Regions from separate parts of the Mus musculus genome. Here all the other regions are reported to be linked to region 1. Evidence: microRNA targets listed by miRTarBase, many of them from high-throughput screens and not tested one by one. Region 1 holds a microRNA gene; each other region holds the end of a gene's coding sequence.
Evidence for each region. Region 1 holds the annotated microRNA mmu-miR-145a-5p (GUCCAGUUUUCCCAGGAAUCCCU, at 1,335-1,357, opposite strand). A microRNA usually pairs through its seed, bases 2 to 8, with sites in the 3' UTR of a target mRNA and lowers its output. Matches are read on the target gene's strand: a 7mer-m8 pairs with bases 2 to 8, a 7mer-A1 pairs with bases 2 to 7 and ends in A, and an 8mer does both.

Region 2: miRTarBase lists Nr4a2 as a target of mmu-miR-145a-5p. Seed matches in the 3' UTR shown: 8mer at 3,307-3,314.
Region 3: the mRNA of Slc7a14 is a reported target of mmu-miR-145a-5p. Seed matches in the 3' UTR shown: 7mer-A1 at 391-397.

What each region holds. Positions count from the first base shown.
Region 1 is chr18:61,646,532-61,650,719 of GRCm38, forward strand. Mir145a (microRNA 145a) reads right to left here and starts at 1,363; the gene lies at 1,294-1,363. Bvht (braveheart long non-coding RNA) reads left to right here. Exons shown (of 3, transcript NR_045420.2): 3 at 673-954. It overlaps Carmn (cardiac mesoderm enhancer-associated non-coding RNA), which reads right to left. Exons shown (of 5, transcript NR_045402.1): 4 at 3,376-3,619. Mir143 (microRNA 143) reads right to left here and starts at 2,727; the gene lies at 2,665-2,727.
Region 2 is chr2:57,104,818-57,109,005 of GRCm38, forward strand. It overlaps Nr4a2 (nuclear receptor subfamily 4, group A, member 2), which reads right to left. Exons shown (of 8, transcript NM_013613.2): 7 at 3,744-3,922; 8 at 2,409-3,595. The coding sequence ends at 3,339. Among named protein-coding and RNA genes, the nearest start is that of Nr4a2, 8.1 kb to the right of the region's middle.
Region 3 is chr3:31,205,581-31,209,768 of GRCm38, forward strand. It overlaps Slc7a14 (solute carrier family 7 (cationic amino acid transporter, y+ system), member 14), which reads right to left. Exons shown (of 8, transcript NM_172861.3): 8 at 1-3,818. The coding sequence ends at 3,496. Among named protein-coding and RNA genes, the nearest start is that of Gm33834, 25 kb to the right of the region's middle.

The sequences.
Region 1 (4,188 bases):
TGTCTACCCTATGATGCTGAGACACTGTCTCTCGGTAAACCAGGAGTTCACCAACCCTGGCTGGGCTGCCTGGCTGGCTGCAGATCTCCAGGGGTCCTCTTGTCTTTCTCCCTACCAGCACTAGGATGCTAAAGGTGACCCCCCCCACGGCTGGCTTTCTACACAGGCACTGGACATCCGAACTCAGAGCTTTACAGATGAGCCCCCAGCACCTAAGTTCTAGTTTCCCTTTCACATTTATTTCTTTTTATTGTATGTGTGTGCACGTACGCATGTGGAGGTCAGAGGACACATTTCAGGAGTCACTTTTCTCTTCCCACCACGAGGGTTCTGGGAATTCTACTCAAGTCCTCAGATTGGTGGCCAGCATCTTTGCTGATAAGCGCCGTCTCATCCTTCCAACCCAAGTTCCATTTTATTGCTGGATTTCTATCCCTGCCTCTGCCTCCCGAAGCTGAGCTTAAAGGCATGTGGTTTATTTTTTTATTTTTAAAATTTGTTTGTTTGTTTTTAGCACAGTGAGCAAAGATTTACTAAGGAAAAAACAAGGAAGAACTCCCAAGAGTTGGGGGGCCGGGAGCTATAAGTAGTTCCTGCCTCTACTTTTTCTTTTGTCTCAGACATTCAATTCCACGCTTGAAATCAACCCTGGCTCTGCCTTTTGCTTTCTAGGCGACCTGGCTCTTGTTTGGGCCTAAGGAAAAGCCGACTGTAAGCCGGGAAGCATCTCTGGCAAGAACAAGGAAGGATTAAGCACGTCTGTGGTTGTGCGCAGGGATCACAAGGTGCTCCTGCAGTGGGAAGAGCCACCACTAGGGGCGCTCCAAGTCTTGTATTTTCTACCTTGAAAACTCGTTTCCCTGTGGCTGCCCTCCAAATCCAACGGAGATGAATGGCTTTTAGTTTACCTAGCTGATTTAATAAACTTTAAAAATAAATGTACGAATGACTTTCTTAATAGTGTGGATGTGGGTCTGTGGCCCCTCCTCACCACAAGGTCTACAGGGAAGGCATGTGGAGGGTCAGAGTGGAGGGGAGCCGTCTCATAGTCTGGTTTTCAACCACTGTGTCTTGAGACGAGTTTCTCAAGAGTGAGGCAGTTCTGAGCTTCCCACATCCAGCCTCCCTCCTGGGGATGTTAGGAAATATGGACAGGGCGGAAAGAAAAGCTATACAAAGGTCAGAAGAGAGCTCCCAAGACCGCTTACCTCCGACGAACCGCCTCCTCCTCCCTACTCCCCGGAAGGAAATGCCAGGGTGGGAGGGAGACAGATCCAGCTGCTAAGCCATGACCTCAAGAACAGTATTTCCAGGAATCCCCATCTTAGCATCCAAGGGATTCCTGGGAAAACTGGACCGTGAGGACAAGGTGGGAGAGAGAGAGATGCCTTCAGCACGTGCCACGCCCCTAGGGACCAGCAGTTCTCTCGGCATCCACCGTGGGGCGCTGTATACACCCTCCTTCCCGGGATGCAGCGTCCTGCTCTGGGAAGAGCAACTAGAGCTTTGAGTGGCTTGGAAAGTACCTTCCCTAAGGTCAGGAAGCATTTGGGACCAGTCCTCCCTGCCTCCCTCCCCCCGCCATGGTCCACGGGGACTCTGGCCAGTGATTATTAAAAGTCCGTTCCCAGGCTCTAGTGACCTTCTCGCTGCGGTCCTCCAGCAGGTCACTTGGCCTCTGATCCTCGTACGATTGTAAAGTGGCATCAAATAGGACCCACTGGATGGGTCAGGAGCCAGCATGAAGGCAGCGAAGCCATGGACGCTTAGAAATATGTATGAATGGTCAGGGGCTGGTGAGATGGCTCAGCGATTAAGGGCACTGGCTGCTCTTCCAGAGGTCCTGAGTTCAAGTCCCAGCAGCCACCTGGTGGCTCAGAATCATCTATAAAGGGGTCTGATGCCCTCTTCTGGCATGCAGGAGTGTGTGGTTCTGTCTCTGCTGTTACTACAGCTGAGAGTAACCAAGACCAGGGTGGGGTTTGTTCTCTTCTACTCTCCTCTAGGAAGTGGGTCGCCTTCCTCAGACCAGGCTTGGGAGGTTAGCAACAAATGGATATACCCCAGTGACTCTCCTCTGTTGCCCCTTGCCTCTCTGAAGCCTCTGGGACAAGGGCAGACATTTGTGAGATGCCAGCCTGGCTCAGGCAGTAGCACAGAGGCAGGGTAGAGCTCAAAAAGTGAAGACTGTGACCTCAGGCCTAATGTCTGGCATTTCGTGGTTGCAACGTGACAGTGTCGTATCGTTGGGTTGCCGGGATCCTGAGCCTCTACTGGGGCTAAGGATTGTTAAGGACTGTCTGATTTACAGAGACGAAGGGGTTTCAACGCAGAACCATATACAATGGCTATTCACTATGCAGTGTTGAGAAGGGTTCCGAGGGTGTGTTGGAACCTCCCCAGAATGGGTAGATGTAGCGTCTTTGTTAGCAGTGTCTTCTCTAGGCTGAGGAAGTAGAGGCAGGGTGTTGGTGCTGGCAGCCCCTGAATGGACCAGAGCTTACTGTTGTAGAGGGCACAAGAGTGATCGGCCCTGGTACAGCTTGAGCCCAGGAACATCGCCACAAGCTGCTGGAGCAGAATCTAGGGACAACCTATCTAGTCCGCTATCCCATGCCAACACTTACCACGTCCCGGTGACGGCTGCAGGACATCTTCTCCCTTCCTGAGCTACAGTGCTTCATCTCAGACTCCCAACTGACCAGAGATGCAGCACTGCACCTCAGGCTGGGAGACAGGCGCTCCGCACGCAGGCCGCGCGGCTTTCTTCTTGGGCAGGAGGAGTGTGAGCATGCGCAGTGGTCTGCCTCCTATCCGGGTCTTGGCTTACCCTGGAGCCCTCTGGGACTGAAATTTCCACTTTCTTGTCCTTTTGTCGTTTTAAGTTAGCTTTCTTGTGATAGACCCACCCATTTCAAGCATGCAGTTAATTTTTTTTTTTTCAGTGCTAAAGATGGAACCCAGGGCCTGCCTGCTCAACCTGTGGCTCCCCTGTTTGTGCCCCGCCCCCCATCCGTCTCTTTATGCACGCAGCACAAATGACTGCTAGTGAGAAACTGTCTCTTCTTTAGTTCTCAGGACATCTCCTTTATGGGCTCGCCCATCCTTTGCACTCCTGTTTCTCCCTAGCTCTTGGGGTATCCTTTTCAACTATGGCCACTTTCCTTCGTAAGGAAAGGGAGTCTGCTGGCTTCCCTCAACCCCCGGATCAAGGCCGCCGTTGAACACTGCTTGAGTGGCTTGCAACCTACCTCATCCTCTGTGGCCTTGGAGCGGTTTATCTCTGGGTCACCCCAGCTTTCCTCTCCAGTTCCCTGAGGCCAGGGTTCATATATTATGATTTGGGGTCCCTAGAACCTGCCGATGACTTTGCATGTGACTACAGACAAAAGATGACACGTGGTGACCATCTTCTGTGGCCACGGCTTGTGTGGGAACTTCGGGGTGAACAGAACACCCCTGACCCCCAAACCACCTACTCACCCTGCTCTTGCTAAGACACCCCCCTCCCCCAGGGTCCCCAGATAACCTTTGCTTCGTGGTGACTGCGGTGGCCTTGGTGATGGATGATACATACCTTCAGGGTTTTCTGAAGAGGGTAGGCAGCCTTTCCTCAGGGCTGGAGAGAACAGAAAAAAAAAGTGCGCCTCCATTTTTAGAAACCCCTTTGCTCCTAGGCCTCCCAATAGGAATCTAGCTCCCTGAAGTTAGGGGTGAGGTGCAGGGGCAGTGGGAAAAGCTTCTTTGATTTGTTGTTAAGGCCAGGAAACTTCTGCCTTCAGGCACTCCCCAGCCAATTACCATCTTCCCTCTGTCTGGACTCCTCAGACACTTTCCACAGCCCTTTTACCAGGAGATCTGAATACAGGACTCTCTTGAGTCAGAATGTCTTCTCCAGGACATTCCCCCACAGCTCCCATGGACCCTGGGAGAGGTGGCACTGAAGTTGACCAAGGGACATTTCAGTAAGTAGCTAGGAGTGGTGGACACAGCCTAGCTGGGTTGCTAGGAGCCTTCCCCAGGGTCAGCTGTGCCCAAAGCCCTTTTGCCTCCATTGCTTTTGCTTTCTGGGGAAGCAGAGGGAGTGGAGATCTTTGGGAGTCATTTGGTGACATACCATTTGGGTCGTCCCCTGCCTCTTTGTCTGCCCTCCCCTCCCCCTTATTTTCCCTTTTGTCCTTTCATTTT
Region 2 (4,188 bases), not on the chromosome of region 1:
AAAGACTATGACCCTCAATCCAGATAGCAGAAAGGCGGAAGCCACGGAACACCAGGCAATAGAACTGCTCATCCATTCTTGCTTTAAATTAAGGCCATCTCTCCAAAAAGCCAGGCCGTTCTAGGCAACCTCTCAATGTGGAAGTGGACAACGAAGACTTTAAAATAGATCTCTCAGATCTGAGAAGTGGGTGTATAGATGGTCATGACATTGGAACAATGACCACGTATTGTCTACTGCTGAAATGACACTCCGAAAATGACATGCAAGAGTCATTAGGCAACGGAGGTGACTAGGAATCCCTCATCATAAAGTTAGACCTCTTCCTGAAGAAATTCTATACACTTTGATTTGACAACATAGAAAGAGTCTGTGTCTCTTCCTGGGCTATATTTCTAGAAAGAAAGACTAAGACTGGAAAGTTGTGAGCAGAGAGAACCTTTGAAGACCGGGGGGGGGGGGGGGGGGGCGGAGAAGACGTTTGGTGGGTAAGAGCCGCCGAGATAGAATGTGACTCTGAAGTAGAAACCTTACCAGGGACAACCTAGGAATCACAATCCAGCCCAGTAGATGCAGTACGGAGACAAGGAAAGCATGGATCTCTTAAAGTCTCCAGAGACTCACTTTTCCCTGACGCCGTCATTGGCCTCAGATGATGCCTGCGGAGTCCTTTGGGGAGAATCAGCCTTGGGGGTTCATTTCTGGGCTCAACTCTAAGGGATTCTGCAGTAAAATGTAATTGTCTCCGGGCGCAGACACCTGGGAGAAGAGCTCATTCTGTCTACTTAAGAGTTTGTGGTTTTGACTCAAAATAAGATGTGAAAATAAAATGCAGTCGCTGGTCTGATCTTAAAAATGCACACATACACTAGAAAATTGGACATGTCCTGTTTGATACCCTATATGACCGATTCCCTTTACCCCTCAGAGAGAAACCCATTCAGTAAAAATAGCTTTAAACTACCACAGGGGACTTTCCTTGTCTCTTTTTGCCAACCATAAAACAATTGTTTTGACAGGGTAAGGAGTGAGACCAGGTAAACTGGCGGCAGGATACTCTTCTGACAGCCATTTTTTTAAATGAAGACCTTTTTTGTTTGTTTGTTTCTTTGTTTGTAAATTTCGGTGACCCCCAAACTATCTGTAATTAGCCAGGGTCATGAAGCAGGATCAACCCATCTTAAATCTCTCCTTAAATTCAGCCCCAGGCAGAACTGGACTACCATCTGCCCAAGGATACCTGGTTGAAAGCCAGATCAGCTGAGAACTCGGGCCCCTTCCTCCACGGAAAGTTGATTCTGAATGGAATACGAGAGCCTCATGTTAAAATTTGCTTAAACTAGATCCAAGACTGGACAAGGATCTTTTTTTTAATCTGAAATAATTAGAAGGTGGAAAGTTTCTAAAAGTTCAAAGCACACCTCATCACTCCCCACCAGAGGAGGGGAAAAAAGAAATGTCTCTCCAGAGCTCTAGTGGGAAGGCTGACTCAGAACTCCAGCAGAAGGCCTGGAGTGCTCGGTCCCACACTCATAGAAGCATGCACAGGAATTGAAAAGAGCAAAGATAAAGTAAAAGAGAATTCAAATCTGCCTTTCTGAATCTCCAAGCACAAACTTCGGAATGCTGTTCCCCTCCCCCCCCCCCCAACTTCACAAGATTCCCAACTTGGAAAAGTTCAGATTGTTGGTCTCCTAAGCTGCACTTAACTCAAAACTTACAAGAGTAAGATATTCTAAGTTGATTCTGATAAATGTAGGTCAGCAGACTGGAAAATTCAGGCAAAGTAAAAAAAAAAAACAAACAAAAAAAAAAAAAAAAAAAAAAAACACTGCATGAATTCTCTGGATAATTAGTTTAGTGACACCCTTCCCTTTGCCACAATGGATCTAGGCTGTCAGTCTGAAATTCAGATGTCCTGTAAGTGACCTCCCCAAATCAGTCTCCACTTTCGCCTCTTTCTTGTACCTGTTGTTTAGTAATCATTTTCCTGGCCCAGAAATAAGACAGAGTTCTGTTCATTTACGTGGTTTATTGTTGTAAACATTAAAATTGTCTTTCTTAAAGAAAGAATTTATCAGGAAAAAAAAATCAGCATCTCTAACTGTCGTACACCATAGAAAAAAAGGCAGTGACTCATCTCATGTGCCGTACTAGAAATATACAAAGAAAATACTACAGAATATGGCAATATTAAAATTCTTACTCAAACATAAAATAATATATTGACTGACAATTTTAGACATAAAAAACAAAAACAAAAAAATTCAAAGTGCTCAGTAATTTCCAGGGAGTTATGTATATTATAAGCACTCTGGAAACAGTCAAAAGCTGCTGCATGCAAGTTTTGTTTAGCTTTAGACAACAAAATAATCAAGATATAAACTTTCTTTTATCAACATCAACGGTACATACAACACTTACAAACAAGGAATGTTGGGCGGTGTTACAAACACTATGTGTCCCTTTTGTCAGGATTTTCCAATGTACTGATACTTGTGCCCACCTATTATACAATTGAGAAAAATGTTTAAGCTCAGATAACTACCAATCTTTATAAAATCTAACAGACTACATAGTGTCTGAAATACTATTTATATAATATAGACATTACTGAAGTAGCAAGTGCCTATAACATCTTCAACCTAGAATCACATGCTTGTCCCCTTTTTATGTAGTTATTTTCTTTTTTTTTTTTTGCAAACACACTTACTTTTTAGAATTTGTAATATTTATTCATAAATAGGCACAAAATAATTTAAAAAGCCAAACTGCATTGGATAAATTTACAAGCCTCTGCCTTCAATTCATGCCACCCACGCAACATTTAGTTTTACTATATATTACAGCTTTCTTTACAGCAGAAAACTTTGAAGTCTTGTTAAAGGGCAAAATAGGAGGGTCCCATTAAGGTGTGTGTGTGTGTGTGTGTGTGTGTGTGTGTGTGTGTGTGTTACATTTGTCTTAACTGCAACAAGCAAGCATGGCCAAACATTTCCCATCATACATTAGCAATCTTTCTTCTGAACAACAAACTGATTTTGAACTGATAATAAAAAGTTTATACCACTGTACTGTGTGCTGTCCGTTTTCTAAATCCAGGATGCCCCGGAGCCAAAATGCCCTTTCAGGTTCTGCCTGCAGGTTAGGAAATAGCGACAGTTTTTATTTGTGGTTTGTTTGTTTGTTTGTTTACTTAAGGGGTGAGGGCTAGGGGTCTACAGAAGGGAGATAAGGTGAACTGGACACTTCAACCAGCTCTCTGCCCATGTGACCAGCCCCCTCTGGATGTTATTTTTTTTTTCTTTCCAGTTCTTTGACGTGCTTGGGAGAAGGTCTTAGAAAGGTAAGGTGTCCAGGAAAAGTTTGTCAATTATTGCTGGTGGTGGTACCAAGTCTTCCAATTTCAGGTAGAAAATGCGCTGGAGGCCCTGTGTGCAAAGGGTGCGGAGTTCTGGCAGCTTCCCCAACAGTTTAGACAGGTAGTTGGGTCGGTTCAAACCCCCATTATTGAAAGTCACATGGTCTTTAAGACAATTTACAATTTTGTTTTGTAGCTCTTCCACTCTCTTGGGTTCCTTGAGCCCGTGTCTCTCTGCAGAAAATGCAACCAGAAACAAAAGAATGCAGAGGGGAGTTAGTCAGATGGCAGAATCAGAAAGAATCTGCGATTAGGGAAAGCCATGACCGGTCCCACCAGAGGAAGTTCGGAAGGGGAAGTGTCCTGCACCAGCAGTACTGACCTGTGACCATAGCCAGGGCAGCAATGCAGGAGAAGGCAGAAATGTCGATGTTCATATTCTGCAAGTTGGAGGAGAATTCAACAATGGAATCAATCCATTCCCCAAAGCCACGCACGCATTGCAACCTGTGCAAGACCACCCCATTGCAAAAGATGAGTTTACCCTCCACTGGGTTGGACCTGCAATTAATACCAAAGAGAGAGGGGAGAAAAAGAGAGAGAGAGAAGCTAAACAACTAATTACTTGAAGAGCAATAAATGAGGGATTTAAGAGGCACCTAATTACTGAAGAGTTAATAAAATGTAGACCAGTGGACCTTGAAAGGGTTTAATTTCATAACAATCAAGAACTCCCCTATCCCACCACCACTCCGGTCACCCAAGGCTCTGGGCTCACTCCTTCCCTTCTTCACCTTTGCTTTGTTTTTATCTTGCCTCCAACCCCA
Region 3 (4,188 bases), not on the chromosome of region 1:
ATCACAAGATTATTTCTTTTTTTCTTCCAAGACAGAATTTCTCTGTGTATCCCTGTCTGTCTCGGAACTCCCTCTGTGGATCAGGCTAGCCTCAAACTCAGAGATCTGCCTGCCTCTGCCTTTGAGTGCTGGGGTTAAAGGTGTGTGCCACCACCACCTCGCTGTTATTTCTTGATAGCCACTACCCAGCAGGCGCATGTGGCTGTGCAACTTAGGCTTGACGCTTCTCTGTGGACTTTAGAGGTCTGTGCCCTTATGGGGGAAGGGCTTATTTTAATCATGTAGCAGTACTGGTTGTCATTACTGACAAGTCTATTATTTTCCAAGATGCCAGTAAGGCACATCCCTCCATGGCCTCTGCATCAGCTCCTGCTTCCTGACCTGCTTGAGTTCCAGTCCTGACTTCCTTGGTGATGAACAGCAATGTGGAAGTGTAAGCTGAATAAACCCTTTCCTCCCCAACTTGCTTCTTGGTCATGATGTTTGTGCAGGAATAGAAACCCTGACTAAGACACCCTTCATCGGAAAATGTAGCCAAGCCCTTGAAAGTTCTGCACCTGTGCACTATACACACTTCTGGCTTAGTGTTACCCTCTCTTCTGTTTCAGTTGTGCTCACCCCTTTTGTTTTGGAGCACATGCATTTTTTTTTTAAGATTTATTTACTTATTTATTATACGTAAGTACACTGTAGCTGTCTTCAGACACACCAGAAGAGGGCATCAGATCTCATTATGGGTGGTTGTGAGCCACCATGTGGTTGCTGGGATTTGAACTCCAGACCTTCGGAAGAGCAGTCGGGTGCTCTTACCCACTGAGCCATCTCACCAGCCCGAGCACATGCATTTTAATAGCTGCCTCCAATCTTTCTGAAATGATGCAGAGTATTGATAAATAAATAGAATTCAAAGATATTAAATTATCGGCTTCACACACACTGAAACCCACCAGAAGAGATTTCCTAAGATAAATATTTATAAAGGGACCCTTCTTTTAATGAAACCTCACAAATACAGTATTCAGATATGTTAGCTGATATTGTCATTTCTGTGGTTGATGGTATTTGAAAGTTGCCTTGTGAAACCTGGGACTCTTCCATAAGAGCTGAGAAACACAATGAACCTTGCTATGTACCTGAGAAAACTTTCCAAACAATGTTTAAAAAACCAAGATAGCTAAGAAGATGACCCCAACAATGTTAGAAAAATAAAGAGAGCAAAGACATCCAAAGCTACCAACGGAGACAAATGGCTTATGAAATGAGATCAATTCCTTGGCTCTGCACAGAATCAACACCAATAGCATTAACTAATATAACCCATGCTCACTCTCTTAGGCTACAGAAGATGCACACAGCTGCCACCAGACCATTGCTACTTTTATACCTAAACACCAGCAGTAAAAGGAAACTTTCTACTCACATGAAAATCTGTCACTTTGTATCCATATTTCTTCTAAACACACCTAAGGGAGAGAAGGTTACCCACGACTTCAGCTTAATAGATGCAATTTAACCAGGCAGATTTCTTGCTCCTAAACCAGTTTAAAACTTAGGTTTTAACATCATGAGATCAATTTGACAGTGAATTTTCCAGGGTGATTTGTCGCAGGCCAGACACTGGATCATGGTGGTTAAGTTTAAGAAAGAGGATACACAGTTTTGTCAGACTTTACATAAAAATGATACCATGAATATACTGGGTTCTATGTAATTAATATGAAGTGATCTAAAAACTGTAATTATTTGATTGCAATGGCATAGACTAGCTAGGGGCATGGTATGCAATTTATTATGCATTGTCTTAAAAAATAATTTCAACTGATATTTTTCTGGTATGCCTCTTGCATTGGTCATGGGGCTCCAAAACTGCACCTCCCTGTACTGTAAGCTCCAAGGGAGGAAGTTACAGGTCTCCTCATGCCTGCCACTTAGCCACTGGTGTATTTCAGCGAGTTAGCGCAACAGGAAGCGCACCTTTTCTCTGTAACTCTAGTGCATGCCAAGAAGACATCAGCTTCAGACTTTAAGAAAGGAGAATGTTTGTTGATTCTCAGGAGAATTTTTGGCAGATGATAAAGAGGGGGTTTGGTCTTTGCCCTACTTCCAGAAAATTCTCACAAAAATCTTAGTGTGAGGAAAATTGTCTTCATACACAAGTACACCCGCTGTTGAAGCCATGGGATCCATGGCTGCTGGGGGGATATAACTCACAGGCTTTTCCTGTCACAGATTCATCTGTCCTGTTTTGGGAAAATTCTTTTAAGCATTCCTCCGGTGGCCTACACTTAAATGTCACCAGGTAGCATTTCTCTGGGGCTCTGTGAAAGTACTTTGGGAAGGAACAGGAAAAAATACTCTAAAAGCGAGCTCTTCCGAAGCATGAGGTCCGTGTGGGAGTGTGATCTCTCTGAGCTCATTGACCTAAGTCCCTGGCCTTCTGCACCACCGTTTTCAACAGCAGCAGCCAGCCAAGTGGTTGCCTAGCTTGAAAAATTAAAAAAAAAAAAACCCTCTGCAGAGTTTATAATTTTAGAAATATGAAGTAAGATTTGTAATGTGATCTCAGTGGCAGAGTTACTTCTCCTCGAAAAGACTTTTTATCAGATTGTAAAACAAATAGCCTACTTATTCCAGGCATATCAGAGGCATGGCGTCACAGCCCACCTCTGCCCTTTCACCATCGTGGCAGGAGCTCAAGGTCTGGTATAAGGGAATGCATGACAGACAGTTCATGTCTGCCAATGCTTTTCTGACCTCTGTAAGAGATTGCTATCTAAGCTTTTACCTTTTTTTTTTTCCTCAAGCTCTGATGGTGGGTCTAACTATACTACTGTGTCTGCATGGGTGCTTTGTGGGGGATGCGTTCTCCGAGTCCTTTCTGGATCCTAAAATTATAGTCTGGAAACTGTAAGAACTTTGGTGAGTGAGGAACCGTGGGTCTGCTCCACGGTTAGTGGGAAGTTTAGTGAGAAGGTGAGGTGAGATGTAAGGACACAGTGTTGCTGACAGAGAAAGTCCTGAAACAGCCTGACCTACTGACCTGGGGGAGGAGCTCACAGCGCTGCTCTGGATGGGCTGACAGCTGCCTCACACTGCACTGCCGCCACCTTTGTGGCTCCTTCCCCCGGGGCTGTGTTCTCAGGTGGGATGGAGGAAGCTTCCTCCATCTCTGTAAGAAGCACAAAGATCCATCCTGCAAAGCAAACATTTGCTGCCATCGGCTGGGCATCTCACTAACAGAATTTCATGTAGTCTTTTGAGTTTGATTTTTGTTTGTTTGTTTGTTTAACAAGAGGGCTAGTTAAGGGCCCTGGGTAAAACCCTTCAACAGAATTCCCCTGAAGAGCAAAAGTAGCAAATGACAGGTTATGCCTGGGGATGGACCTTGGGGAAAGGCTGGGTTTGTGAAATGAGAGTTGGAAGAAGTTTCCACCTTCTAGCACATAGGCTGATGTACTAAGAAACCACCCTCTCTAGGCTCCTGCGCGGTTAGTCTTACTCCGGAGAGCAATCTAACTCGTCATTTGCAATCAGGGCCTCCGAGTTCTGTTTGTGTTTGCTTTTGCTTTTCGCTTTGCTACTCGTCCGGCTGTTTGCCTTCGCATCTGACATCTGTTGGTAATAGAAGCCTTTGTCCTCGGCGGGCCCACCCCAGTCCTCCTGGCTCTCGCCCTCGGTGGCGTAGGAGAACCCCTCCTCCACAGAAAAGGGATCATCCACATCGTAGCGCTGGTACGTGCTCTGATGCAGGGCTTGCTCTCGGGCGCTGATTTCCAAGGTGCTGTTCCAGATGCCATACCCAAAATAAATGAGCATACCTGTTGGGAGGGGGAAAGCACAATGAATAAGCAGCTATCTTGGGGCCCGGGGGCCACTGGGGAGATCACACCTGACTAGGGCTGGGGTGATGTACATTCTTAGATCTAGCACATTTTGGAAAGACTTGAATAATGCCCTTTCCAGCCCCAGAGAACACATAAAAAGCCCCTTCTGGTGGTCCTAGCTAAAATAAATGCCCTAGAGAGGTAGGATCAGGCAGATCCCTGGGGCCCATTGGCCAGCCACACCTGCTAAGCTGGTGAGTCTCAAATCTAAGGTGCTCAACTCCTGAGGAAAGGCACCTGAGGTTGGCCTCTGGCTGCCACATACACAGGGTACAAACCCAGGCCTCCCACCAGCAGGCACAGA